3 linked regions of the Anolis sagrei genome follow. The protein of the gene in region 2 interacts with the protein of the main gene of each other region in a pairwise test. Links are inferred from orthologs where the notes say so. Each region holds a gene or a part of one and is shown on either strand. Other genes may lie near its edges. The genes, in order: MRPL44, IMMT and DISC1.

What was found.
Region 1: the proteins of IMMT (region 2) and MRPL44 interact in a two-hybrid assay, tested with the Homo sapiens proteins (2 studies listed by BioGRID and IntAct). The link is inferred for Anolis sagrei from reciprocal best matches to the Homo sapiens genes IMMT and MRPL44.
Region 3: the proteins of IMMT (region 2) and DISC1 interact in binary tests that used the Homo sapiens proteins (3 or more experiments, as listed by UniProt). The link is inferred for Anolis sagrei from reciprocal best matches to the Homo sapiens genes IMMT and DISC1.

The regions. Positions count from the first base shown.
Region 1 is NC_090023.1:235,577,103-235,585,348, forward strand, and holds the start of MRPL44 (large ribosomal subunit protein mL44), read left to right. Parts: upstream 1-3,299; 5' UTR 3,300-3,330; coding exon 3,331-3,470; intron 3,471-6,739; coding exon 6,740-7,208; intron 7,209-8,246. UniProt on the Homo sapiens protein: Component of the 39S subunit of mitochondrial ribosome. May have a function in the assembly/stability of nascent mitochondrial polypeptides exiting the ribosome.
Region 2 is NC_090026.1:52,322,367-52,330,612, forward strand, and holds the start of IMMT (MICOS complex subunit MIC60), read right to left. Parts: upstream 4,772-8,246; 5' UTR 4,678-4,771; coding exon 4,636-4,677; intron 1-4,635. Other genes in the region: MRPL35 (large ribosomal subunit protein bL35m), read left to right, coding at 5,032-5,065, 8,096-8,246. UniProt on the Homo sapiens protein: Component of the MICOS complex, a large protein complex of the mitochondrial inner membrane that plays crucial roles in the maintenance of crista junctions, inner membrane architecture, and formation of contact sites to the outer membrane.
Region 3 is NC_090021.1:60,760,864-60,769,109, reverse strand, and holds the start of DISC1 (disrupted in schizophrenia 1 protein), read left to right. Parts: upstream 1-4,380; 5' UTR 4,381-4,453; coding exon 4,454-4,505; intron 4,506-8,246. UniProt on the Homo sapiens protein: Involved in the regulation of multiple aspects of embryonic and adult neurogenesis. Required for neural progenitor proliferation in the ventrical/subventrical zone during embryonic brain development and in the adult dentate gyrus of the hippocampus.

The sequences.
Region 1 (8,246 bases), on a different chromosome or scaffold from region 2:
TACCCGGACGTCCAGAAATTGAAACTGACAGCTTGGCGTATATTTCCAGTCCAGTAAAGTTAATTATGGAAGCAGCCCAGAGACAATCCACGAGAAGGTCATACATCTATAAGTGGTCAAGGTTTTCGAAGTTTGCTCAAAATAAAGGGATAGATCCTGTTAAGGCTCCAACTTCTTTGGTGTTAGACTTTTTGGCCCATTTAGTTGATTTAGGTTTATCCTGGTCATCTTTAAAATGTTATTTAGCAGCTCTATCCTGGTTTAGGAGGAAGGCAGGCTTGCCATCGTGTTTTAGTGACCCGATGGTGTCCCAATTCATGAAGGGTTTAAAGAATCTGAGACCACCAGTAGCACCAATTGCTCCTTCATGGAGTTTAGAGATAGTACTTTCGGCCTTGGTTAAAGCCCCATTTGAACCATTGGCGACGGTAGATATGGCATATTTGACATGGAAAACAGCATTTTTGGTTGCAGTAACGTCAGCACGTAGAGCGGGAGAGCTGTGTGCCCTTAGGTGCGATGAGCCCTATATGAGAATACACAGAGATAAGGTAGTACTAAGACCTGATATATCTTTTCTACCGAAGGCGACAAGCAAGTTTCATATGTCGCAGGAAATTATATTACCAGCCTTCTTTCAAGACCCATCTTCTTCTTTAGAGAAGAACTTGCATCTGCTGGATGTACGTAGGGCTCTAGTATATTATATAGATAGAACCAAAGGTTGTAGAAAATCTACTAGGTTATTTTTAAAATACAGAGAGGATTCTGTGGGACTTCCTGTTTCCTCACAGAGGTTTTCAGCATGGATTGTCTCGACCATTAAACTTGCTTATCAAATGTGTAGGAAAGACTTACCTTTGCAGGTTAAGGCGCATTCTACAAGGGCGATGGCCACTTCGACGGCGTTTTTGAAAGGCGTTCCGCTTGACACTATTTGTAGAGCAGCCACTTGGTCCAGACCAACGACTTTTGTGAAACATTACAAGCTGGATGTGCAATCGAAGGCTGATGCAGCGTTTGGTAGAGCGGTGCTTTTTTCGGCTGTGGCATGACGCCCTCCGTCCAGGTTAGCAGCTCGCTAGTCTACCATATATGTGTAAATTGCAGTGACCACGCAGGGAAAATATGGGTTGCTTACCTGTAAACATAGTTTCCCTAGTGGTCACCTGCAAATTTACACAACCCGCCCTTCCTCCCCTCCTGATTGTCATGCCCCAGCTCTTCTGTATGCGATTTTTAGCGACGGAAGAACTGGCCGCGGTCTCTCGGGAGGGCTATTTATAGAGGAGAGGGGGGCGGGAGGGGCTGCTCCAACTGATCTTTTATCTCGTGAACTTTCCGTTGCTGCCGGCGCGAGCGCCGGATATTACCATATATGTGTAAATTTGCAGGTGACCACTAGGGAAACTATGTTTACAGGTAAGCAACCCATATTTTAAAAGTATAACCCAAACAATAGAGAAAGAGGTGTGTGTGGAGGTAGCAAGCTTGAGTTAAACTTGAAAAAAAAACTGCTCTGACATACATATATAAGCTTTGGCTACTATAGGGAAGGATTAACACTCCTGGGGTGTTTCTTTTGCTCTCTGTGCCCCTGTTCTGAAGATTTCGCCGCACTTTTGTGTCACTGTGACAACTGGATTTTGAAGAATTTGACTTTTTGTTGATACAAGGATTGGTAATAAATCTTCAGTGGAGACACGTTTTCCCCATGATAATGACTCTTTCAGGAGTGGATTTTCCTTGTGATGGGTTTGATTTCTCTCACTTCCTGTTGTCTCACCTCTGTTCTTAATTATGAGTTGTTTGTAAGTTGGGTGTTTGTAACTCAGGGACTGCCTGTATTGGCAAACAAGCTATGTGAATTCAGAATCTGATCCTATATGCTCAACAAGGACTTCTCAGATGCACCCTGTGCTTGATGTTAAGTATATTGCTTAACTTTATTTACTGCATGCTAAAATAAGTGATGTGTGAGACATGTGGCTGTACGGTTAAAATCCAGGACTTCCATTGCTTGTATTTGAAAGGGAGGAGAGGAACTTTCTTCTTTTCCAGTACAACAGAAAAGGGATGGAGTGAAAGTAGGCATCCCAAGCAAAAGGATCTATCATATCACCAATCATCTGAAGTATTCATATCTTCTGCCTGGAGGGAGTATAAGGGGCAGAGAAGGTGGGACAGTTTTTAAAGGAGACTCGGGGCCTGATTTTCCCCATAAAACATGATTAGAGCCCAATTTTCCCCATAAGACATGATAGAGGGGAAATCGGGGGGAAAGACCTAAAAAATATAAAAGGAGGCCCTTTGGCATCAACAATGGTATGTTGGGAAAAATGGCAAGACAAACTTCCATTTATTGCTAGACTACCTTCTCTTCCCATGGGGACTGGATTTGAACTGGATTAACTTCATTACGTGATGTCAAAGGCTTTCATGGCTGGAATCACTGGGTTGTAGGTTTTTCCGGGTTATATGGCCATGTTACCCTATAATCCTTACATATCAGCTGTCACATCGGCACTTTTAATCTTGTACCCATTATCCTGGCCCGGCCCACTTTTATAGTGTCTTGATGAATTGTTTATTGCTTGTTGTTTAATATTGCTTTAACTGTTTTTAATTTGTTTTAGGTGTTGTATTGTTATGTTGTGTTTTGAGGCCTTGGCCTTTGTAAGCCGCATTGAGTCCTTCGGGAGATCCTAGCGGGTACAAATAAAGTTAATAATAATAAAATAATAATGTTCTAGAGGCATTTTCTCCTGACGTTTCGCCTGCATCTATGGCAAGCACCCTCAGAGGTAGTGAAGTCTGTTGGAAGTAGGAAAATGGATTTATATATCTGTGGAATGACCAGGGTGAGACAAAGGACTCTTGTCTGCTGGAGCTAGGTGTGAATGTTTCAACTGACCACCTTAATTAGCATTTGATGGCTTGGCAGTGCCTGGGGGAATCTTTTGTGGAGAGGTGATTAGATGTGCCTGATTGTTTACATTGCTATATAATTGTCTACATTGCTATATAATCCAGTTCAAAGCAGATAATCTGGATTTTATATGGCAGTGGAGGAGGGGCCCAAATTGGACAAAATTTGATTAGCCACAATATAAAATACTACATAAACTTGTTGACATGCAGCCCTTACATATTGAAATTAAATGCCATTAGAAAGTAATAACATAAATGATCAGACAACATAAGAGAACCCTGAGAATCCTTCTCTAAGCAGAGGAAATGAATCACCCGGAACAGAAAAGCGGTGGCTCGTGTTTCCGGCCGGCGCCTGTGCGCGGGGCACCTCCTCCGTCGATCTTCTATTGCAGAGCAATGGCGTCCGCTCTGCTACGCCCGCTGCTCTCCGCGGCCACGAGGCGCCTCCCTCTCCACTCTCAGCCGCGCCGGGAGAGCAAGCGATGGGTGCGCGCTTATCTGGAGCAGCAGCGGCACCTGGAGCCCCCGCAGCGCCGGTGAGAGAGGCCTGTCGGCGGGAGAGGGCGGGAAGGGGCCTCCCGAGTGGACGGGGCTTCGGGCCTTCCCTCAGTGTTGGGCATTCAGCAGTTAAAGTGGTGCCTTATGTTAGAATGTTGAGGCTGGCCAATAAGAAACCATATGCAAATTAGTAGGTCGAAATAGCGCATGCATAGGCCAACTTGGGCCTTCCCTCCAGGTCTTTTGGACTTCAACTCCCACAATTCCTAACAGCCGGTAGGCTGTTAGGAATTGTGGGAGTTGAAGTCCAAAAGACCTGGAGGGAAGGCCCAAGTTGGCCCAGATCTTGTCACCTTCAAAATATCAGAGCTGTAAAACATGTTCTTGACTAAACAATGCATGTATTATTATTTGTTAATACTTGCTATTTATCAATGTTTTGCGTATTATGTTTCCTAATAGTGTTGTTAAAGGTAAAGGTTTTCCCTTGACCTTAATTCTAGTCGTGTCCAACTCTCTCCTTTTCTAAGCCAAAGAGCCGGCGTTGTCTGTTGACTGTTTTATTGCTATAATGATTGTTTCATTGCTTATAGATGTATGGTTTTAATTTGATTTATGTTTAATTGTAGTGTATAATTGAAATTGTTTATACTGGCATTGAATTTTGCCATTACTTATGTGTAAACTGCTTTGAGTCCCCCTTGGGGTGAGAAAAGTGGTATAGAAATACTGTAAATAAATAAACATTCACACCTAGCTCTAGCAGAGAAGAGTCCTTTGTCTCACCCTGGTCATGCCACAGATATATAAATCCTTTTGCCTAGTTCCAACAGACCTCACTACCTCTGAGGATGCTTGCCAAAGTGCAGGCGAAACGTCAGGAGAGAATGCCTCTAGACCATGGCCATACAGCCCGAAAAAACCTACAACAACCCAATAAATAAATAATTCTTCGTAGACACCTCCTAGGCCAGCATGACTGCATGGAACACTGTTACCTTCCCACAGAAGTAGTACCTATCAATCTACTCACATTTGCATGCTTTCAAACTGCTAGGTTGGCGTAAGCTGGGGCTAACAGCGGGAGCTCCCCTTGCTCCCTTGACCTTAAGTCTAGTCATGTCTGACTTTTCTGCTTTTCTAACCTGAAGAGCCCCAGCGTTGTTCATAGACATTTCCTAGGTCATGTGGCCAACATGACTGCATGGAACGCTGTTACCATTCCGCAGAAGTGGTACCTATCAATCTACTCACATTTGCATGCTTTCGAACTACTAGGTTGGCACAAGCTAGGGCTAACAGTGGAAGCTCACCCCGCTCCCTGGATTCAAACTGCCAACCTTTCAATCAGGAGCTCAGCAGTTTAACTCGCTGCGCCACCGGGAGCTCCAGTGGTTGTTACCGTATCTAAATAATTTATTTTGTGCATTTCGTACCAAGGACATGCAAATTGTGGACTTTGCAGATATTTGGTTTTTTTCTTTATTAGAATCCTGAGCTCCTCCTAGGGCTAAAATTGTACAGGTATATTAAAACTAAAAGGAGTCCAGAAGTGTTTGGAGTTCCAGAATTGCACTGAATTCACAGTCCTTACTAATATCCACACCAGCTATCCCAAACTTTTTCATTTCAGAGTATGGTTTAGGACAAGAGGGTGGGCTTTTTATAGCTGTTATAATTTAAACCAGTCATGGGCAAACTTTGGTCCTCCAGGTGTTTTGGACTTCAACTCCCACCATTCCTAACAGTCTACTTTAAACAATTGTGAATCAGACATCCATGATGATCTAATGTAGATCATAACAAGATTTGCCAGTAGATCTAGAACTCCCATCTCTCAGCATTATTATTATTAATAATAACAATAATAACTTTATTTGTATCCTGCCCCATCTCCCTAAAGGGACTCAGAGTGGCTTACATGACAACACTGTGCAAAGTGAAATACATTAAATATACACATAATTTAATTTAAAAGAATAAAACACCAAGTGGCAAAAATTACAACAAACAGGGTTAATATAGAACACATTAATTGAAATAAAATAACAATAAAACACAGTAATAAATTGTAATTAAAACAATGATTATGTTGTTGTTTCTATGGTGATCCTAGGGCAAAGCTATCACAGGTTTTTCTTGGCAAAATTTGTTCAGAGGAGGTTGCCTTGGCATTTGTTTGAAACTGAGACAGTATTGCTTCCTCGAGGTTACGCCGGGAGTTTCCATGACTGAGCGGGAATTGAAACCCTCTAGTGCTTAAACCACGATTATACCATGCTGGCTTAAGTTTGCGGCTTTTGTTACATAACACCCAACACATCCGTAATCACACGTGATCATATGCATTTATGCGCTGTACATGTAGGTACAGAAGTGCTCTTAATTCTTCTGTCTATTATGCTAATTTCAGCGATACTTCTTTCGTTTTAGGCTGAGAATATGTTGATGAAAAGAAAAAACTTAATATGGCTGTGCTGGGTGTTATGTTGAAAAAGCAGCATGTTTCTCTGTTTGAATTTCATATATGTCACAACTCCCTGTTTTCTGTCAGCTTGTTAAACATTACAGAGTTTATCCATGCAGAAAAAGAACATTTTTTGGCACATTATGACTTGAAGTAATCCAAAGTGTCATTTGAATTTGATTTTGTGGTTGTTTTAATTTCTGTTTGAAATCCTGTTTTGATTGTATTTATATGTGATTGTTTTGTGTGTAATGATTTAATATTTAATGTATTTATTTATTTATCATGTCAGAGCAAGTTGAGGGTACAGTTATACTTGCAGCATATGACTTGCAGAATGTATTTATATTTTGTTATGTTTATGTTTTGATGTGGCATCGAATTGTGCCAAGAATGAAACTGCTCTCAGTCGGGGGTGAGATAAGACGGGATAGAAATACAGTAAATAAATAAATAAATAAAATATTTATGCACTTCCGTTCTCAAAATATGTTTAATAATGAATTAACTCTTAAGGCTCTGAAAAACTGTGCTCAGCACACATTTTTTTTTGCATTCTCAGATTCTGTCAGAAATAATTAGGAATGTAGCTCTTGCTTTTTAAGTTCAAGTTTAGACTAACTGGTTAGAACAGAGTTTCTCAAACTGTGCTCCCCCAGGTGTTTTAGACTTCATGTCCCACAATTCCTAACAGCCAGTAAGTTGGCTGAGATTTCTGGGAGCTGAATTCCAAAACACGTGGAGGTGTATAGTTTGACAAACACTGAGCCAGAAGGATTCTTGGTTTCTTTCAATAGTCTATCCTGATTATTTTCTGTTTTCTCCTCTGTCATTATATAGATCTGAAAAGCCTAACTGGGATTATCATGCAGAAATACAGGCTTTTAGTCACCGGATACATGAGAAGTTTGCATTGGATCTTCTTAAAACTGCATTCGTTAATCGTTGTTATATTAAACATGAGGAGTCTAGGCGGCAAGCGTTGGGGCTAGAGAAAGAAGCCATTGCTCTTAATCTCAAGGACAACCATGAACTTTATCTGCAAGGGAACTCTTTTTCACGCTTGTACCTCACACAGTGCTTTGAAGAGGCTTATCCAAAAATGCCACCTGCTGGTATTGAGGCTCTTGTTAACTTTCTCACCAGTGAAGAATTAGTGTCCTACTTGGCTCAAAACCTGTCACTACAAGACTTTACGCTCTGTGCAGAATTTCCCGTGCCAACTAATGTGCTTCAGCAGACTTTCTTTGCTGTAATAGGAGCCTTGCTGCAAAGCAGTGGCCCTCAGAGAACAAAGCTCTTTGTCAGGGTAAGTTCTTGTACTGCAAAAAATTGTTATGCCTTGAAGAATGAGTACACATCTAAGGCTAAAGCTCTACGTGCCATAACACACAGGATATAATAAATAATGTGCCATTGTTCATTGTAGAATTCAATTTCACTGCAGCTTTCCTGTCAGCTTTGACTCCATGCATGCAGTTGAAGAAACAGAGCTGGTTGACAGAAACTTTGCCAGAGAAACCATTGCTGCTGTTTAGAAAAATAACATTTAATACAGTACTAGAGTACATTATTCTGAATATTAACATCACTCTTTTGACATTCATGTTTTACATTAAACTTGACCAATAGAGATAGAAAACAAAAAGAGGGAAGGGAGAAATTCAAACAATATAAATGAAGACTGATAAAAACCAATCATATTTCTAAAAAAAATAATGATTTTCTTTAAGTTGACATTTACAGATTACGTATAAATGTGTAGACACATGATCTTCATTTCATTGAAGAAATAATGGTGAATATTTATTTTTCCAGCCTTGGAATAAAAGTTCTTTTGTAGAAGCAAAAGCATGTGGGCTATAATAACATTGTCCCTTAGTGAAATTCCATGTCACAGGAACATAATTTAATAGAATGTATATCTACAACAGTCGAAAGATATTTCTGATCTGAAACTAATACATTTATAACACATCCAGACTTTTAATATGCAAAACTATTTAAGTTCTCAAAAATTAATATACACATATGCCTGAGTATTTGATAGAGATACTTTAAAATTAGAAGATCCCACTGCAAAATTGCAGTGTCTCTGCATCCAATTAAGTTGATAGGATATAGATGGAGCCTAAGAGTTTGTTGGTCCTCTGTCAGTCCCAACCTGATGTCTGGCTTTGTGGAATTAGTACATACGTGTGAAACATGGGATACAGTTGGATAAGTGAACTATTGAATGTTGGAATCTTACCAATTAGAATGAAAAAGAAGCATATATAGCCCAATTGCATGGATCAGTTTGAAATACCTAATATATACCATTTGATTCTACATATCGAATCAAAAC
Region 2 (8,246 bases):
TCTTTTGATTTGTAGTGAATATATTTTTCTGTAATCGTTCTTCTGCCTGAGTGAAGATTGTAATTCTGTTCTAACTATAAACCGTTTGAATATCTCTGATTTTCTAAGGAAAAGGGGAGATGCCCAAACTTTTTATTAAGCAATATGTCAAAACCACAAGTAGCTTTCTTTAGAAGTCTGAATTTTATAACAGGCCTTAAACTCAGATTTTCCATGATTTAGAAACATAAACTTAGATTTTCCATAATTTAGAAACACTGAAAAATGCCAAATGAACATGCATCCAAAACTTTAGCTTTTACTCTCAAAGCTTGGGCGTTTTAAGAAACAGACTGTAACAGGTTTTTGAAGTATGTAATTTAGTATATATGCTAAATTGTTATTTAATATCTTGCTTTTTCAGGCTCAAGAAAAAAGTCTGAGACAGCACTATATTCTCTGCATGTTGAGATGTATTTGAAGTCTTCATTTCTCCATTCACTCTCCACACTTCTACTGAACACTTTCCAGTACAAGATCCATTTGTTACAGTTCTGTGCATTCAAGTCAGTTCCAACTGATGGCAACCTCATTATATGAATTTCTTTGCAGACTTTATTCTGACAATGTTTTGTCATCGTCTTCCTCTTAGGCTATGAGGGTATGACTTGCACAGCATTACCCAGTTTCCATAGCTGGTGGGGATACAGCTTCTAGCCTACTGGAGAATAAGTCCAGCATGCAGATCAATACAACATATTATAATCCATATAATAAATTTATTTTCAATATAACATATGTTATAAACATTTGAGAATTATGTATTAGTTTTAAATAGATTCTCAATTATTTTGAATTTACAGGAAGTAGTAAAAACCACTAGTAAAGGCAGTGGCATTTATTATTATTATTATTATTATTATTATTATTTAATTATAAGGAAACGTGCACAGAATTGCACTTTCAATCTGTGTCAGAATGTGGGCATATTAACAAGCAAATAATTGGGTTTCTAGCAGAAATGTTGGTTTTTCTCTTTCAAACTTTCCAGAGGAACAGCATAAACAAAGTCAAATTGATGTAATTTAAGATATCACAACCAAAATAATTTAAATTTAATCTTTCTTCAGAAATCCAAAATAATTAACACAGTGAGGATACACTCATATTGATGTTGTGCTCAGAAGTCCCCCAGACTTCAGAAATAATTACTTCCAAGTATGTGTATATTGCTGTTGTGTGCCTTCAAGTTGTTTGCAACTTATGGAAACCCTAATGGTAGCATATCACAGGGTTTTCTGAGCAATATATGTCAGAACTGGTTTGCTTTTGCCTTCTTCTGCGGCTGAGGATCCTTCCATACAGCCCTATATCCCAGAATATTAAGGCAGAAAATCCCACTATATCTGCTTTGAACTGGAATATATGGCAGTGTGGACTCAGATAGCCCAGGACCCCTCCACACAGCCCTATATCCCAGACTATCAAGGCAGAAAATCCCACTATGTCCGCTTTGAACTGGGCTATCTGAGTCCACACTCAGATAATGTGGGATTTTCTGCCTTGATATTCTGAGATATAGGGCTATGTGGAAGGGCCCTAGTTCAAAGGAGATATTGTGAGATATTCCGCCTTGATATTCTGGGATATAGGCCTGTGTGGAAGGGCCCTGAGATAGTGATTTGCCCAAAATTATACAGTGGGTTTTCATGGGATTCACACCCTGGTCATAATAGTGGTAGGTTAAGGCCCCTTCCACATAGCCCTATATCCCAGGATCTGATCCCAGATTATCTTCTTGTCCCAGATTATCTGGCAGTGGATACCTATATAATTCAGTTTTAAAATAGATAATCTGGGATCATGTCATGGGATATAGGGCTATGTGGAAGGGACCTAACACTCAAGCTAAACATGCTGACTCATACACACAGAGACACATAATTTCATTCTTACAGAACAGACCTATATATCAGGGTTTCAGAAGTATGGTCCTCAAATTTTCTTGACTCCCTCAGATCATGCTTTTTCTAGTAAAAAAATGCAGTCTCTTTTTCAAGCCCACTGGGAATAACATTTTAAAAAGGAAGGCCAGAAAAAGAGGTGGGTGGGTCCCTGCTCTGTTCAATGTTTCAAAAACGTTTTTTCAAAACCAAAAGATATCTAGCCATTGCTATTTTTGTTTCCTTGGGGCCCTATTTGGCACTCCAACCAACCTCATGAAGGAGTCAGAGCAGAAAACTAACCCCGGGCCTATCAAAATTCATTTTCTCAAGAAGTTATATTCCACTAAAGCACCGTTTCTCAACCTGGGGGTCGGGACCCCTGGGAGGGTCGCAAGGGGGTGTCAGGGGGGTCGCCAAAGACCATAAGAAAACACAGTATTTTCATTGGACATGGGGATTCTGTGTGAAAAGTTTGGCCCAATTCTATCGTTGGTGGGGTTCAGAATGCTCTTTGATTGTAGGTGAACTATAAATCCCAGCAACTACCACTTCCAAATGTCAAGGTCTATTTTCCCCAAACTCCACAAGTGTTCACGTTTGGGCATATTGCGTATCCGTGCCAAATTTGGTCCAGATTCATTATTTATTTGAGTCCACAGTGCTCTATGGATATAAGTGAACTACAACTCCAAAACTCAAGGTCAATGCCCACCAAACCCTTCCAGTATTTTCTGTTGGTCATGGGAGTTCTGTGTGCCAAGTTTGGTTCAATTCCATTGTTGATGGAGTTCAGAATGCTCTTTGATTGTAGATGAACTATAAATCCTAGTGACTACAACTCCCAAAGGACCAAATCAATCCCACCCAACCTCCCCACCAGTACTAAAATTTGGGTGTATTGGGTATTTGTGCTAAATTTGGTCTAATGAATGGAAATACATCCTGCATATCAGATAGTTACACTATAATCTATATAAATAAAAATGTAATGTTCGTTTGTGATATTCACAGAACTCAAAAACCACTGGGGGAATTGACACCAAATTTGGACACAAGACACCTAACAACCCAATGTATGTCTTTCACTAAAAAAAATGATTTTGTCATTTGGGAGTTGTAGTTGCTGGGATTTATAGTTCACCTACAATCAAAGAGCATTCTGAACCCCACCAACAATGGAATTGAACCAAACTTGGCACACAGTTCTCCTACAACCAACAGAAAATACTGGAAGGGTTTGGTGGGCAGTGTCCTTTGGTTTTGGAGTTGTAGTTCACCTACATCCAGAGAGAACTGTGGACTCAAACAATGATGGAGATAGACCAAACTTGGCACGAATACTCAATATTTATTTATTTATTTTATTTTATTTCAAAGTTTTGTATACCGACCTTCTCACCTCATTGAGGGACTCAGCCCGGTTTCCAACCATAAAAACACATACAATCAGTAAAATATCATAGTTCACAATTACAGTAACACATTTAAAATAACAATATATTTAAAACTACGGTGGTCAATCGTCATATCAAAATCAAATATACATCATCTTCCATCCAAAATCCTAGGGTGTTGTCTCATTCATCAAAAGCCTGTCTCCACAACCACGTCTTCACCCGTTTCCTAAATGTCAGGATAGATGGGGCGGTTCTGACCTCCGGTGGGAGAGAGTTCCAGAGTCGCGGGGCCACCACTGAGAAGGCCCTGTCCCTCGTCCCCACCAGGCGGACCTGTGCGGCCAGTGGGACCGAGAGCAGGGCCTCTCCAGACGATCTTAATAATCTTGATGGTTTGTAAGGGAGAATATGTTCGGAGAGGTAAACAGGGCCGGAGTCGTTTATGCCCAAATGTGAACACCGGCAAAGTTTGGGGGAAATAGACCTTGACATTTGGGAGTGGTAGTTGATGGGATTTATAGTTCACCTACAATAAGAGCAGTGATAGATTGGGCCAAACTTCCCATACAGAACCCCCATGACCAACAGAAAATACTGTGGTTTCTGATGGTCTTTGGTGACCCCTCTGACACCCTCTCATGACCCCCCCCCCAGGGGTCCGGACCCCTAAGTTGAGAAACACGGAAATCAGGGATTATTATTATTATTATTATTATTATGAGGAACTGTATTAAGAAGCATTAGGAAGGTTGAGAAACACTGGTCCAGAGTAAATGGTAAGTGCTTGGAAACCACTTCATATTCTGGGACACAAGGTTGTGTGGACGGGGCCTTGGATAAACAGAAAACTTGGGAGCGGTTCCTGAGATATAGGGCCTGGCTGGAAGGGCCCTGCAACCAGAGGGTTGTTTGGGGCCTGCCCAGCTCCCTCACGCGAGAACCAAGAGGCAGAGGGAAAGGCGTGCTCTTCCTCCGCTTTAGAGGTGACACCAAGGAGCCCGCCGGCTGCCCTTCTTCTTCCGGTGACCCTTAACGAACGCGTGACTGAGGCGTTCTCACGAGTAATTGACCACTCACAAGGGCGACCCCGCCCTCGCGAGAAAAAAACAACAAACACACCACCAGGCTGGGGAGGCTCCGCGAGGCGACATCCCTCCCCGCAAGGCATGACGGGACTTGGAGGCTGCCTTGAAAAAAGCCACCGCGCGCGAGGCGCCCCTTCCCGCTTCTCCCCTCAGGGGGAGGGCCCTTCCCCCGCTCCGCCGCCCACCCTTGTCCGCCTCACCCTCCGCGGCGGTCCCTCCAGGCCTCACCTGAGCCGCGGTGCTCCCCGCGCGCTGACAGGCCCGCAGCATGGTCTCTCCTCGGCTGAAGGAAGGAAGGAGACCAAGAGGAGCTCGACCCTCAGCTCGTCATAGGCCGCCGCCGCCGCCTTCTCCCCCCTCCTCCCCTCAGCGCGCAACCGCTGCCCCCGCCCCGAGAGGCGGAGCTTGTGTCCACCAATCAGGAAAGAAAGAAGGTGCGTATGCAAATAATCCGCTGTGCCTACGACAGCAAATCGAGGCTGCCAATCCGCACAAGGAAACCTAGAACGAGGAAACGGGAAAGAGTAATCTATTTGCACCCTCTTCCGTTTTTGGCTGCATTTTGACCCTCGCCGGCTGCCGTAGCGAAAAGAAAAGGTGGGCGGGAAGAACTGAAAAAGGAAGATGGCGGCCGTCGGAGCGTTGCGGAGGTTCTCAGGTCAGAGACCGACGGCCCAAAGTACCACATTATCTGCTTTGAACTGGGATATATAGCAGTTTGGACTCAGAAAACCCGGTTCAAAACAGATATTGTGGGATTTTATGCCTTGATGTTCTTTTTTTTTCTGTCGTGTCAGGAGTGACTTGAGAAACTGCAAGTCACTTCTGGTGTGAGATAATTGGCCGTCTGCAAGGACGTTGCCCAAGGGACGCCCGGATGACTTTGATGTTTTTATCATCCTTGTGGGAGGCTTCTCTCATGTTCCCGCATGAGGAGCTGGAGCTGATAGAGGGAGCTCATCCGCCTCTCCCCGGATTCAAACCTGCGACCTGTCGGGTCTTCAGTCCTGCCCGCACAGGGGTTTAACCCACTGCGCCACTGATGTTCTGAATTATATGGCTGTGTGGGAGGCGATCAAATAATCCAGGATCTTCCAGACAGGCCCTATATCCCAGGATCTGATACCAGGTTTTCTGCCTTAAACTGGATCATATGTCCCCACTGATAAATAATCCGGTATAAACAGAAAAACTGGGATCATATCCTGGGATATAGGGGATTTTCTGCCTTGATTATCTGTGTTATATGGCTGTGTGGAAGATTCCTGAGAGGGAATAAGGCAGAACTGTTATGGAGGGCCTTCTCGGTGATGGCCCCCCGCCTCTGGAACTCACTTCCCAAGGATATCAGCCATGCCCCAACTCTAGCAGTCTTTAAGAGCCGTAGCAAACTACTGGAAGCGAGAGCGAGCTTGTGCTCGAGCTCGCTCCGAAGAGCTCGCTCCCCCCCCCCCCCCCAGGCTGCTCTCTCTCTTGCTAGTGTGCCTGTTTTCCCTTGCTAGAGAAGCGATGCGAGTGTACTCTCGCAGTTGGCAGAATTCAACTGTGAGCGTACGCTCGCATCCCTGCCCTCTGCAATGGAAAACAGGCACGCTAGCAAGAGAGAGAGCAGCCTCGGGGGAAAAAAGGCAGGGCTTCGAAGCAAGCCCGAGCACAAGCTTCCTGTAGTTTGCTCGCAACGCTGCCCTAGCAAAGGGAAATAGGCGGAGAAAGAGGCGGAGCATCGCTGGTGCTGGCTTACTTTGCTCTCGCAAAATCCTAATTTGCTACGGCTCTAAGAGGAGCCTGAAAACGTGGTTGTTCCAGTGTGCCTTCCCAGAATAAGGAAAACTCTCACCAATATGCCCTCAAAATGCACTTCGCCACTGATTTAGGATTGACTGCGTTCCCTCAGCTCTCTTTGAAAACTCTACACCAGTTATATCCTACCTTAGAATCATAGAATCAAAGACTTGGAAGAGACTTCATGGGCCATCCAGTCCAACCCCCTGCCGAGAAGCAGGAATATTGCATTCAAAGCACACCTGACAGATGGCCATCCAGCCTCTGTTTAAAAGCTTCCAAAGAAGCTTTTAAACAGCTTCCAAAGAAGCTTTTAAACACCACACTCTGGGGCAGAGAGTTCCACTTCTGAACGGCTCTCACAGTCAGGAAGTTCTTCCTCATGTTCAGATGGAATCTCCTTTCTTGTAGTTTGAAGCCATTGTTCCGTGTCCTAGTCTCCAAGGAAGCAGAAAACAAGCTTGCTCCCTCCTCCCTGTGGCTTCCTCTCACGTATTTATACATGGCTGTCATGTCTCCTCTCAGCCTTCTCTTCTTCAGGCTAAACATTTCAGCATTATTTTTCATACCCAGCATTATTTTGTTCATGCCCAGCATTATTTTTCAAAATTTTAACTATTACATTTGGCCCGGCCATAGGTTTTTAAATGCTTGTGTGTTACTGTTTACTGTTTATTGTTTAATTTGTTTATGTGATTTATATTAATTGTATTGTATTGATTGTTTTTGTTATTGCTTTTGTTTATTGATGCACTGCAGGCTTGGCCTCATGTAAGCCACACAGAGTCCCTTGGGGAGATTATTTATTTATCGTGTCAGTGCAACCAGTTGATTATATTACATTTCTAACAGAACAAAGCAAACAAACAGACAAAATACAAAATTTGTGAGTTTGGTAGTTGATTAAATGTCCTTTGACCAGTATCTGGCCACTTGGAGTGCTTCTGGTGTTGCTGCAAGAAGGTCCTCCATTGTGCATGTGGAAGGGCTCAGGTTGCATTGCAGCAGGTGGTCAGTGGTTTGTTCTTCTCCGCACTCGCATGTCGAGGATTCCACTTTGTGGCCCCATTTCTGAAGGTTGGCTCTGCATCTCGTGGTGCCAGAGCGCAGTCTGTTCAGCGCCTTCCAAGTTGCCCAGTCCTCTGTGTGCCCAGGGGGGAGTCTCTCATCTGGTATCACCCACGGATTGAGGTTCTGGGTTTGAGCCTGTCACTTTTGGACTCTTGCTTGCTGAGGTGTTCCAGCGAGTGTCTCTGTAGATCTTAGAAAACTATTTCTTGATTTAAGTCGTTGACGTGCTGGCTGATACCCAAACAGGGGATGAGTTGGAGATGTCTCTGCCTTGGTCCTTTCACTATTGGCTGCTACTTCCCAGTGGATGTCAGGTGGGGAATACCGGCTAAGCAGTGTAATTTCTCCAGTGGTGTAGGGCTCAGATAACCCAGTTCAAAGCAGATAATGTGGGATTTTCTGCCTTGATATTCTGGGATATAGAGCTGTGTGGAAGGGCCCTGGATTCAAATGTAAGGGCCTTTCTACACTACCATATAATCCAGAATTTCAAGGCAGATAATCTACATTATGTGCTTTGAACTGGATTATCTGAATGTACATTGCCATATAATCCAGTTCAAAACAGGTAATCTGGATTTTATACAGCTTTGTAGAAGCGGCCTAAGGCTACGCAGGATAGTGATTGCTTATATTGATCTACTGAATGAAGATGAGTGAAGGTAATTGAGGAGCAAGTCCCAGGATGATTGCTAGTTCCAGTAAAACCAAAATTGTAATACATTCTGACACTCTAATCAAACAAATCCAATGTTTCCTAACAAGGCCACACAAGGAGAAGCTGTATCTGCCTTTGGTGCCTTTGTTGTATCTTACTGTGTTTTCTTTTCCTTAGGTATTTTACGATCCTTCTCTTCTTTAGCCCCTTCTGCCTATCATGGTACTTGCAGTATCAGCTCCATTTCCCGACTGTCTTTATTTCATGGGCAGGGGTCAACAGTCACTTTCACAAGACCTCTTCTGTCTTTTGGCAGTACTTCCTTTGG
Region 3 (8,246 bases), on a different chromosome or scaffold from region 2:
TCTCGTGTGAGCAGACAGTTTGGCTTCCAAAGCAGTTCTAAGTAGAGATTTATCCACTACAGGGCAGTGATGCTGCAAACCCAATAATTCATAATTTTATGCTGGAAGTAATCTAGGTTTCTATACATTCCTAGTGAAAGTACTCTACTGGCGGTGTGTGTGTACGTGGATTGACAAAGGAGAACTGGTGAGCGAACAACTACCTGATCCAAGGTCGTTTTGGCTCACTGTAACCAGGATGAACTTCCAATGGAAGATATGCTACTATGTCACTTTGAGTATATGACTCAAGCAACCCCAAAAAAGACAGAAAATAAATTTACAGAAGTCTAATAAGTAGGACCCCCTGGTGGCACAGTGGGTTAAACCACTGAGCTGCTGAACTTGCTGACTGAAAGGTTGGTGGTTCGAATCTGGGGAGCGGGGTGAGCTCCCAGCTTTTGCCAACAAAGCAGTTCAGAAGCATGCAAATGTAAGTGGATTAATAGGTACCGCTTCTGTGGGAAGGTAATGGTGCTCCATGCAGTCATGCCGGCCACATGACCTTGAAGGTGTCTACAGAAAACATCGGCTCTTCGACTTAGAAGTAAAGATGAGCACCACCCCCCAGAGTCAGACACGACTAGACTTAACCTTCACCTTAAGAAGTCAAAATGCAAGTTGCATATTTGGATCGATATCTTTTTTCTGACTTTAGGAAACATGGACTATTTTTATTGCAACTGGTGGTCCACATACCACAGGTTAGGAACCACTGCCCTAGACGGTCAGGTCCATGCTATTTGGCTGACCACATCTCCTTGTACGAATCTGCTCGGGCACTGAGATCTTCAGGAGAGGCTCTTCTCTCGGTCCCACCTTCATCTCAAGCTCAGTTGGTGGGAACAAGAGAGAGGGCCTTCCTTCCCCTCGACTCTGGACCTCTCTACCCAGGGAAGCCAGAATGGCCCCTTGCCTGCTGTCCTTCCGGTGGCAAGCTAAAACCTTTTTATTCCTGCAGGCTTTTAAAGATAAAAGTCTTTAAGATCTAGTAAGGGGATGCTGTGGTTTTTTTGATGTTTTTAACTATGAATTTTTTTAGTGGCATATGTGTTTAATTCTACTTTAATGCTCACATTTTTTTATATTTTAAATTGTATACTAATGCTTTTATGTCAAGCCACTTTGCATCCCCTTTGGGGAGATAAAGAGGGGAATAATAATAATAGCTTCTGATAGAGAAGATGTTGTTGTTCCTGATGGCATGCTTGTCTTTAAAAGAGTTGGGACAAGTTCTATGATGTCATGACATTCAGGCATCACTGAGTGTTTTCTTTTTGTTCATTAATTTTTGAGAGGCAACCACTGCATTTAATTTCAGTTACAATAACTATGCATTCTACATTACAAACAATACAATAAACAAATAACAAAAAGGCAATACTTGCAAAGCAAGAGAGAGAGAGAGAGAGAGAGAGAGGCAACCACTCAGTTACAATAACTATGCTTTCTACATGTATAGACTATGTAGGATTATGACTGTATTAAACAGACACAATGCTGATGTCACCTAGCATTTTAGGACTATTAACCGTTTAGTAAGATAAAGCCATTATGGCTCCAGAATGGATGAAATAAGGTGAAGCTTAAAGTATTATTGGAAAATGCAGTATGTGTTGAGGTTTTTAAGTAACTGTCTTCAAATCAACTCCCATCTTATGACAATTATGCTATATTGTTTTCTTTGCAAGATTTGCCTTAGTGCTCATGATGGAAAGAGTTCAACTTGTCCAAGTGTGCCTGTATTTTTCCATGGGTAAGGGGTCCCCTGGAGATCTAGCTTGAGAGTTGAACCACTTCATGACAGTGGCTCTTTTGGAATCGATATTATTGTTGTTAACTGCCATCAAACCCCATGAACGATGAACCTCCAAGTTACCCTGCTCAGATCTTGCAGACTCAGAGTCATGGCTTCCTTGATTGAGCCCACCCATCTGGAATTGTAGTCCTCCTCTTTTCCTGCTGCCTTCTACCTCACCAAGCACAATTGCCTTTTCTAGTGAGTCATGTCTTCTCAAAATATGGCCAACATCTCGGTTTAGCCATGTTGGCTTCTAGGGAGAGTTCAGACTTGATTTGCTCTAGGACCCATTTATTGCTTTTTATAGCAATCCACAGTATCCAAACTCTTCTCAAGCACCACATTTCAAATGAGTAGAATATCTTCCTATCAGATTTCTTTACTATCCAGCTTTTGCAACATACATAGAAATGGTTTTCACAGGTCTGATAGCATTCCCTGAAGTCAATGAGTCAGATTAAGGACTTGGTTTTTTTCTTCTTCTAAGAAGTCAATTTGAACATATTTACTTCTCTTCCAAATAACAATCCTCTCCTTCTGTAAAGACAGAAGTGCCCTTTGGGTGCTTTGAGAACTCATTGATACATGCATGTTTTCCCACTTGAGTCTCCAAACAATAGAGAATCAAGTGATGTACGTGTGTGAGAGAACTTCCGGTTAAGCCTGTTATAGTGAATACAAGGCAGCCTAAGAGGAAAACAGTCTTGATTGTTTTGCCAAGCATAAAACTCTGTTACATACTCTCAGTATAAAGACTTAATTCCTAGGGAGTAGCACTTAATAATAAGTGTGGTTGAGCATGTCCCCAGAAATTTCCCATAACGCTAATTATAACCATCATTGTACAATGGGGATTAAAATCTTGCAGGATCCAGGAATCCTGGTGACATAAAAACTTGCTGCATCCACAAAGAAAATTGCACTCCTTATACAGAATGGTTTTGCATAATAGTCATATCTAGCTGACATCAGCTAAGCAGAGTCGTGCTTGTAGGTCTGTTGTGCATATGGTATAAGAGTGATCACTTGTGGCCAGGCATGTAGCTGGGGGGGGGGGGGGCTTGAGGGGCTTCAGCCCCCCCCCCCCCGAAATTCTCATGGTGGTTCGCGAAAAGGCCTTACTGGTGCATTATTTAAACTGTTGTTTATTCATATCATGATCTGATCACCATTCTCAATATATCCCATATGCATGGGGGTATTGGGGTAATGATACAAAAGGTTTGCTAGGTTAGACCCTCTTTCACTCAGACTCAGCCCCCCCCCGAAACTCAGCCCCCCCGAACCCCCCCCCCCAAAAATCACCCTCCCCCCGAAACGAAATCCTGGCTACGGGCCTGCTTGTGGCCGAGTATTACTGTCTCCCATAAATGATGGTGAAGACCTATTCTTCATCCACGTGGTGTTTCACGTTGACATAGATTTCCAGATGGAAGGCAGTCACAACAGAGATTTGTGTGGTGGCACATTTCTGTGTTTTTGCCTGCCACTTTTGGATTCTTCCTTGCTGGGGTGTTCCTGCGAGTATCTTTGTAGATCTTAGGAAGCTGTTTCTTGATTTAAGACGTTGGCATGCTTGCTGATATCTGGACAGAACATGGGCCGGAAATGTCAATGCCTTGGTCCTTTCATTAATGGCCACTACTTCCCGATGGATGCAGGGAAACACTATAATTTCTGCAGTGGTGTATGGTGTAGACACCCTGTAATAATGCGGCATGTCTCATTAAGAGCCACACCCACTGTTTTAGCATGGCGAGATGAGTTCCACATTGGGCATAGATATTCAGCAGCATAGCAAAGCGCAAGGGCAGATGTCTTCACTGTCTAGTTGTGATCCCCAGGTTGTGCCAGATACCAGGTGCTGCACACAATATTTGTAAGTAACGGACTGGGGAAAACCTTCTGAGTATTCCTTCATTGTCTCTGTAAGTTAGCAGGTGACTTGAAGGCACATAAAGAGAGACCGTCTGAGTAAGAATCTGAAGTAAGAATCCCCTGTTACTAGAGCGCAGCCTGTTCAGTGCCTCCAGCCCTTCCACACTTGTGTGTGCCCAGGAGGGAGTTTCTCATTCATTGTAACAGAATTGATGCAGCTTGGCATCACTTTGTACTTCATCACACTAGAGAATGAATTTGGTTGCTGCCTCCTCTTGCAGAATTCTGGGGTTTGTAGTTTAGTGATGCTGTTAAAGGCTCCTCCCTAAATTACAAAACCCAGAATTCTGCAAGAGGCAGCAACCAGATTTAAAGTGGATTCATTCTCTAGTGCGATGAGGTCCTTTAGCTGGCCAAATGCTATGGCATCCTGGGCGATGCAATTTGGCGCAAGGCCCCAGCGCTCTTTGACCGCGATGGCTGAAGAAAGACCCTGTGAAAGTGAACTGCCAACATTCCAACAGCCCTGAGCCATGCCGGTTCAAGCGGGGCCGAAGCGCATTAATTCTCTAGTGCGGATACAAGGGAGGGAAGCGCCTGGGAGGCCCGAGGGAGGGAGGGATGGAGAGAAGAGGCGTCCCTCCCGCCTCTTTCCCAAGCCAAACGGGGCGGCCTTTGGGTCCTTCCGACGGTCTGGGGGCGGGGAAGGAGGGGAGGGGAAGCAGCCACCCGAGGATGTGGAGCAGCGGCGACCCCTCGGCTTCGGGCGGCACGGAGCGAGACCCCGGTGAGGAGTGGGGGCTTCTCGGGAGGGAGCAGAAGCGGGTGGGAGTGGCGATGGCCAACAGGCAGCAAACAAAGGAGTTTCCCCGGGACGGCCGCGCGCCGCCTCTCCTTTGCCCGGGGAAGCACGAGCCCTTCTGGTAGGGGTTTCGCCGCCACCCCGGGAAGCCTCCTTCCTCTCGCGCGCCCCCTCCTGGCCGGGAGCGGGAATAGGCATCTCCACTCCCAACATTTTCAACTCACTGCTATGAACTCATGGGAGTCGTGGTTTGATGAAGCGCTCTGTGGCCAAGAAGGCTCAAGGCCTTGTAAAACTATAACGTCGGCATCCCAGAGCAGTTCAACTGCTGTTGAACTGCATTAATTCTACAGCGTAGACACACCCAAGGGCCCAGAAGATGTCCCATAGAGGTCCCTGCTGTCACAACAGGCATGGGCAAACTTGGGCCCTCCCTCCAGGGCTTTTGGACTTCCACCATTCCTAACAGCCTCAGGTCCTTTCCTGTTAGGATTGGTGGGAGTTGAAGTCCAAAAGGCCCAAGTTTGCCCATGCATAATTCAACATTGTGATATAATGCAGTTTGAAATTGCATTATATGGTCAGTATAATTCATATGGTGCAATTTTACTACATTATGTGAGGCTGGATCTTCACTGGAATTTGACAGCATTGGACTAGATTCTACACTGCCCTAAAATCCAGATCAATGCAGTTAAATTGCATTATATGGCAGCATACATCTAGCCAGTATCTACACTGACCATATACTGCAGTTTTAATTGTATTTACAGACTATATCTGTATATCTATACTCTTCTAGGCTAAAAATGTTGATAAAGGCTATCCAGGCTTGTGTTGCTGTGATAGATATTCATCGGTCATGGAATAACTTCAATCTGGGGGCACATTCATGCTATGCAATTATAGCACTATGATTCCACTTTATTGCCATGGCAACATCCCATGGAATCCTGAGATTTCTAATTTAGCTCAGATAGTCCCTGAGTTACAAACATCCAACTTACAAAAGACTCATAGTTAAGAATAGGGGTGTGACCACAGGAAGTGAGAGAAACCTACCCTTTGGAAGGGAAATTCACTCCTGGAAGAGTTATCATGGGGGAAAGGGGTCTCCACTGAAGCTTTATCACCAATCCTTGGTTCCACAACAAGCCAAAATGTTCACAGTTCAGTTATCACAGGGACAGAATGTGAGGTGAAATCTTCTGAATGGGTACAGACAGCAAAACTAACAACACAGAGTGTTCACCCTTCCCTATGCCATCCAGAGCTAACACGTATATATATTTGTTTTGTTGAAGACTTTCATGGCTGGAACCACTGGGTTGCTGTGATTTTTCCGAGGTGTATGGCCATGTTCCAGAAGCATTCTATCTTGAATGACATGAAAACAAGACATGAAACAATCAGGATCAGCTAACACCTCCCAACAAAGCATTCCCCCAGGCAGGAAGCAGCCTGGCTTTGAAGCAGCAAGTCCATTCAGTGCTAACAAACGTGGTCTATTGCAATATTCACACTTGCCTCAAACAGACAAGAGTTCTTTCTCCCACCCTGGACATTCCACAGATGTATAAACCTCACTTGCCTATTTCCAACAGATCTCACAACCTCTGAGGATGCCATGCCATAGATGTGGACAAAACATCAGGAGACAATGCTTATGGAACATAGACATACAGCCAGGAAACCTCAGAGCAACCCATATATATTTTTGGTTGGAGCTACACTTACAAATGTACCTGTTTTGATTTACATGCAAATTCAACTTAAGAACAAATCTACAGAACCCATGTTGTTTGCAACTTGGGAAGTGTCTGTATTGGTCTACATTCAGCTGCTAGTCCCAGTTTGAGCAGAAATAATGCAAACACTCTATGGCTCCCTTCCATCCCACATTATCTGTTTTGAACTGGGCTCAGGGGCGGCCCGTCCACTACGCAAAGTAAGCGGTCACAGAACACTTTTTTTTGCCAGGGGCACAGAGGCACCTCTGTAAATGCCCCTCGACTGCCACTTGAAGAGTGCCCCCTCAGCTCACAACAGCCCTAGCAGTCCGGGGGGAGCCTCGGCTTTCTTGCCTCGCTGCTGGGCGATCCTCTTCCCAAAGGGGCTGGGCCCTTGAACCTCGCCTAGCCCCTCTCGTTCCTGCTCCACCTGGCCACCGGGTGCACGAGCAGAGCCAGCGCTCAATCATTCTCCGCACTCGATCCCTTCCCCATGACCGGCTCCCTTTCCCGATCCCCCGGCGCTTCACCTGCCTCCTCTCCTCTCCCCAATCCACGGGTGGTCCAAGGGGCGGAGCCGTCGCGCCTGGCCCGCTTCGGGTCCGGAGGCGTGTCTGAAGACCCCAGCGTGCGCACCAAAAGTCACCTCTTCTCCTGACTTTCTCTTCAGCCATTGGGACCAAGAGAGAGAGAGAGAGAGCCCCTCCAGCTGGAGGTATCTCCTACCTCCGCTCCCTCCTTTGTTTTTGTGCCTACCTTCAGGAAAGGTGGGCATCTCCACCTCTCTCTCTCTCTCTCTCTCTTTCTCTCTCTCGGTCCCAATGGCTGAGGAGAAAGTCAGGAGAAGAGGTGACTTTTGGTGCACACGCCGGGGTCTTCAGGCACGCCTCCGGACCCAAAGCGGGCCAGGCAAGGGAGCAAGTGCGGCAAGTGTAGTTACTGGGATGTATAGCTCACCTACAATCAAAGAGCATTCTGAACTCCACCAATGATGGAATTGAACCAAATATGGCACACAGAACTCCCACGACAAACAGAAAATATATATCAATGGTTGGGGGGGGGGGCACCAAAATACTGTTTGCTTACCATTGAAAATTACCTAGGGCCGCCTCTGACTGGGCTATATGGCAGTGTGGACTCAGATATTCCAGTTCAAAGCAGATATTGTGGGTTATTCTGCCTTGATATTCTGGGTTATATGGCTGTGTGGAATTGCCCTTAGTTAACACCAGTGATTCAATAGGTTTATAATAGTTGGGCCTAATAGTGGAATCTAGATCACAATCCTCATTCATTACTACAGGTTAAGCAACACTCACATGTCAGTTCATTTATTCTACAGTGTAGAAGCATTTCTAGTGTCATTCAGCAGAATATTCATAAGTGTGGGATTGCAGTCTGAGTGCTTGATTATGGTTGCATCTACACTGCAGAGTTAGTGTAGCTTGATGTCACTTGAACTGCCATGGCTCAATGCTATGGACTCATGGAAGTTATAGTTTTACAACATCTTTAGCTGTTTCTGTCAAAGGGGGCTGGTGCCCCACTAAATGGCAACTCTCATGATTCCATAGCAATGAGCCATGGCAGTTAAGGTGGTGTCAAACTGCATTAATTTAGATCAGTCATGGACAAACTTTGGCTCTCCAGGTATTTTGGACTTCAACTCCCACAATTCCTAACAGCCTCAGGTCCTTAAGTGGCTGAGGGGGAAAAGGAAGGGGCCTGAGGCTGTTAGGAATTGTGGGAGTTGAAGTCCAAAGCACCTGGAGGGCCCAAGTTTGCACTCTAGGACTCTTGGAGATCAGCTGTGGAAATCTAATGGCTGCCCTTGAGCAAATCATATTCCTTCAGTCTTAGAGAAAGTTATGGGAAAACCCTTCTAACTGAAACTTTCCAATCAAACCCTGTGATAGACTTGCCATAAGTTGGCGTCAGCAACAAGGCCCCTCAAAGCTGTCATACAAGGACATAGGAAAAAGTACAGTATTAC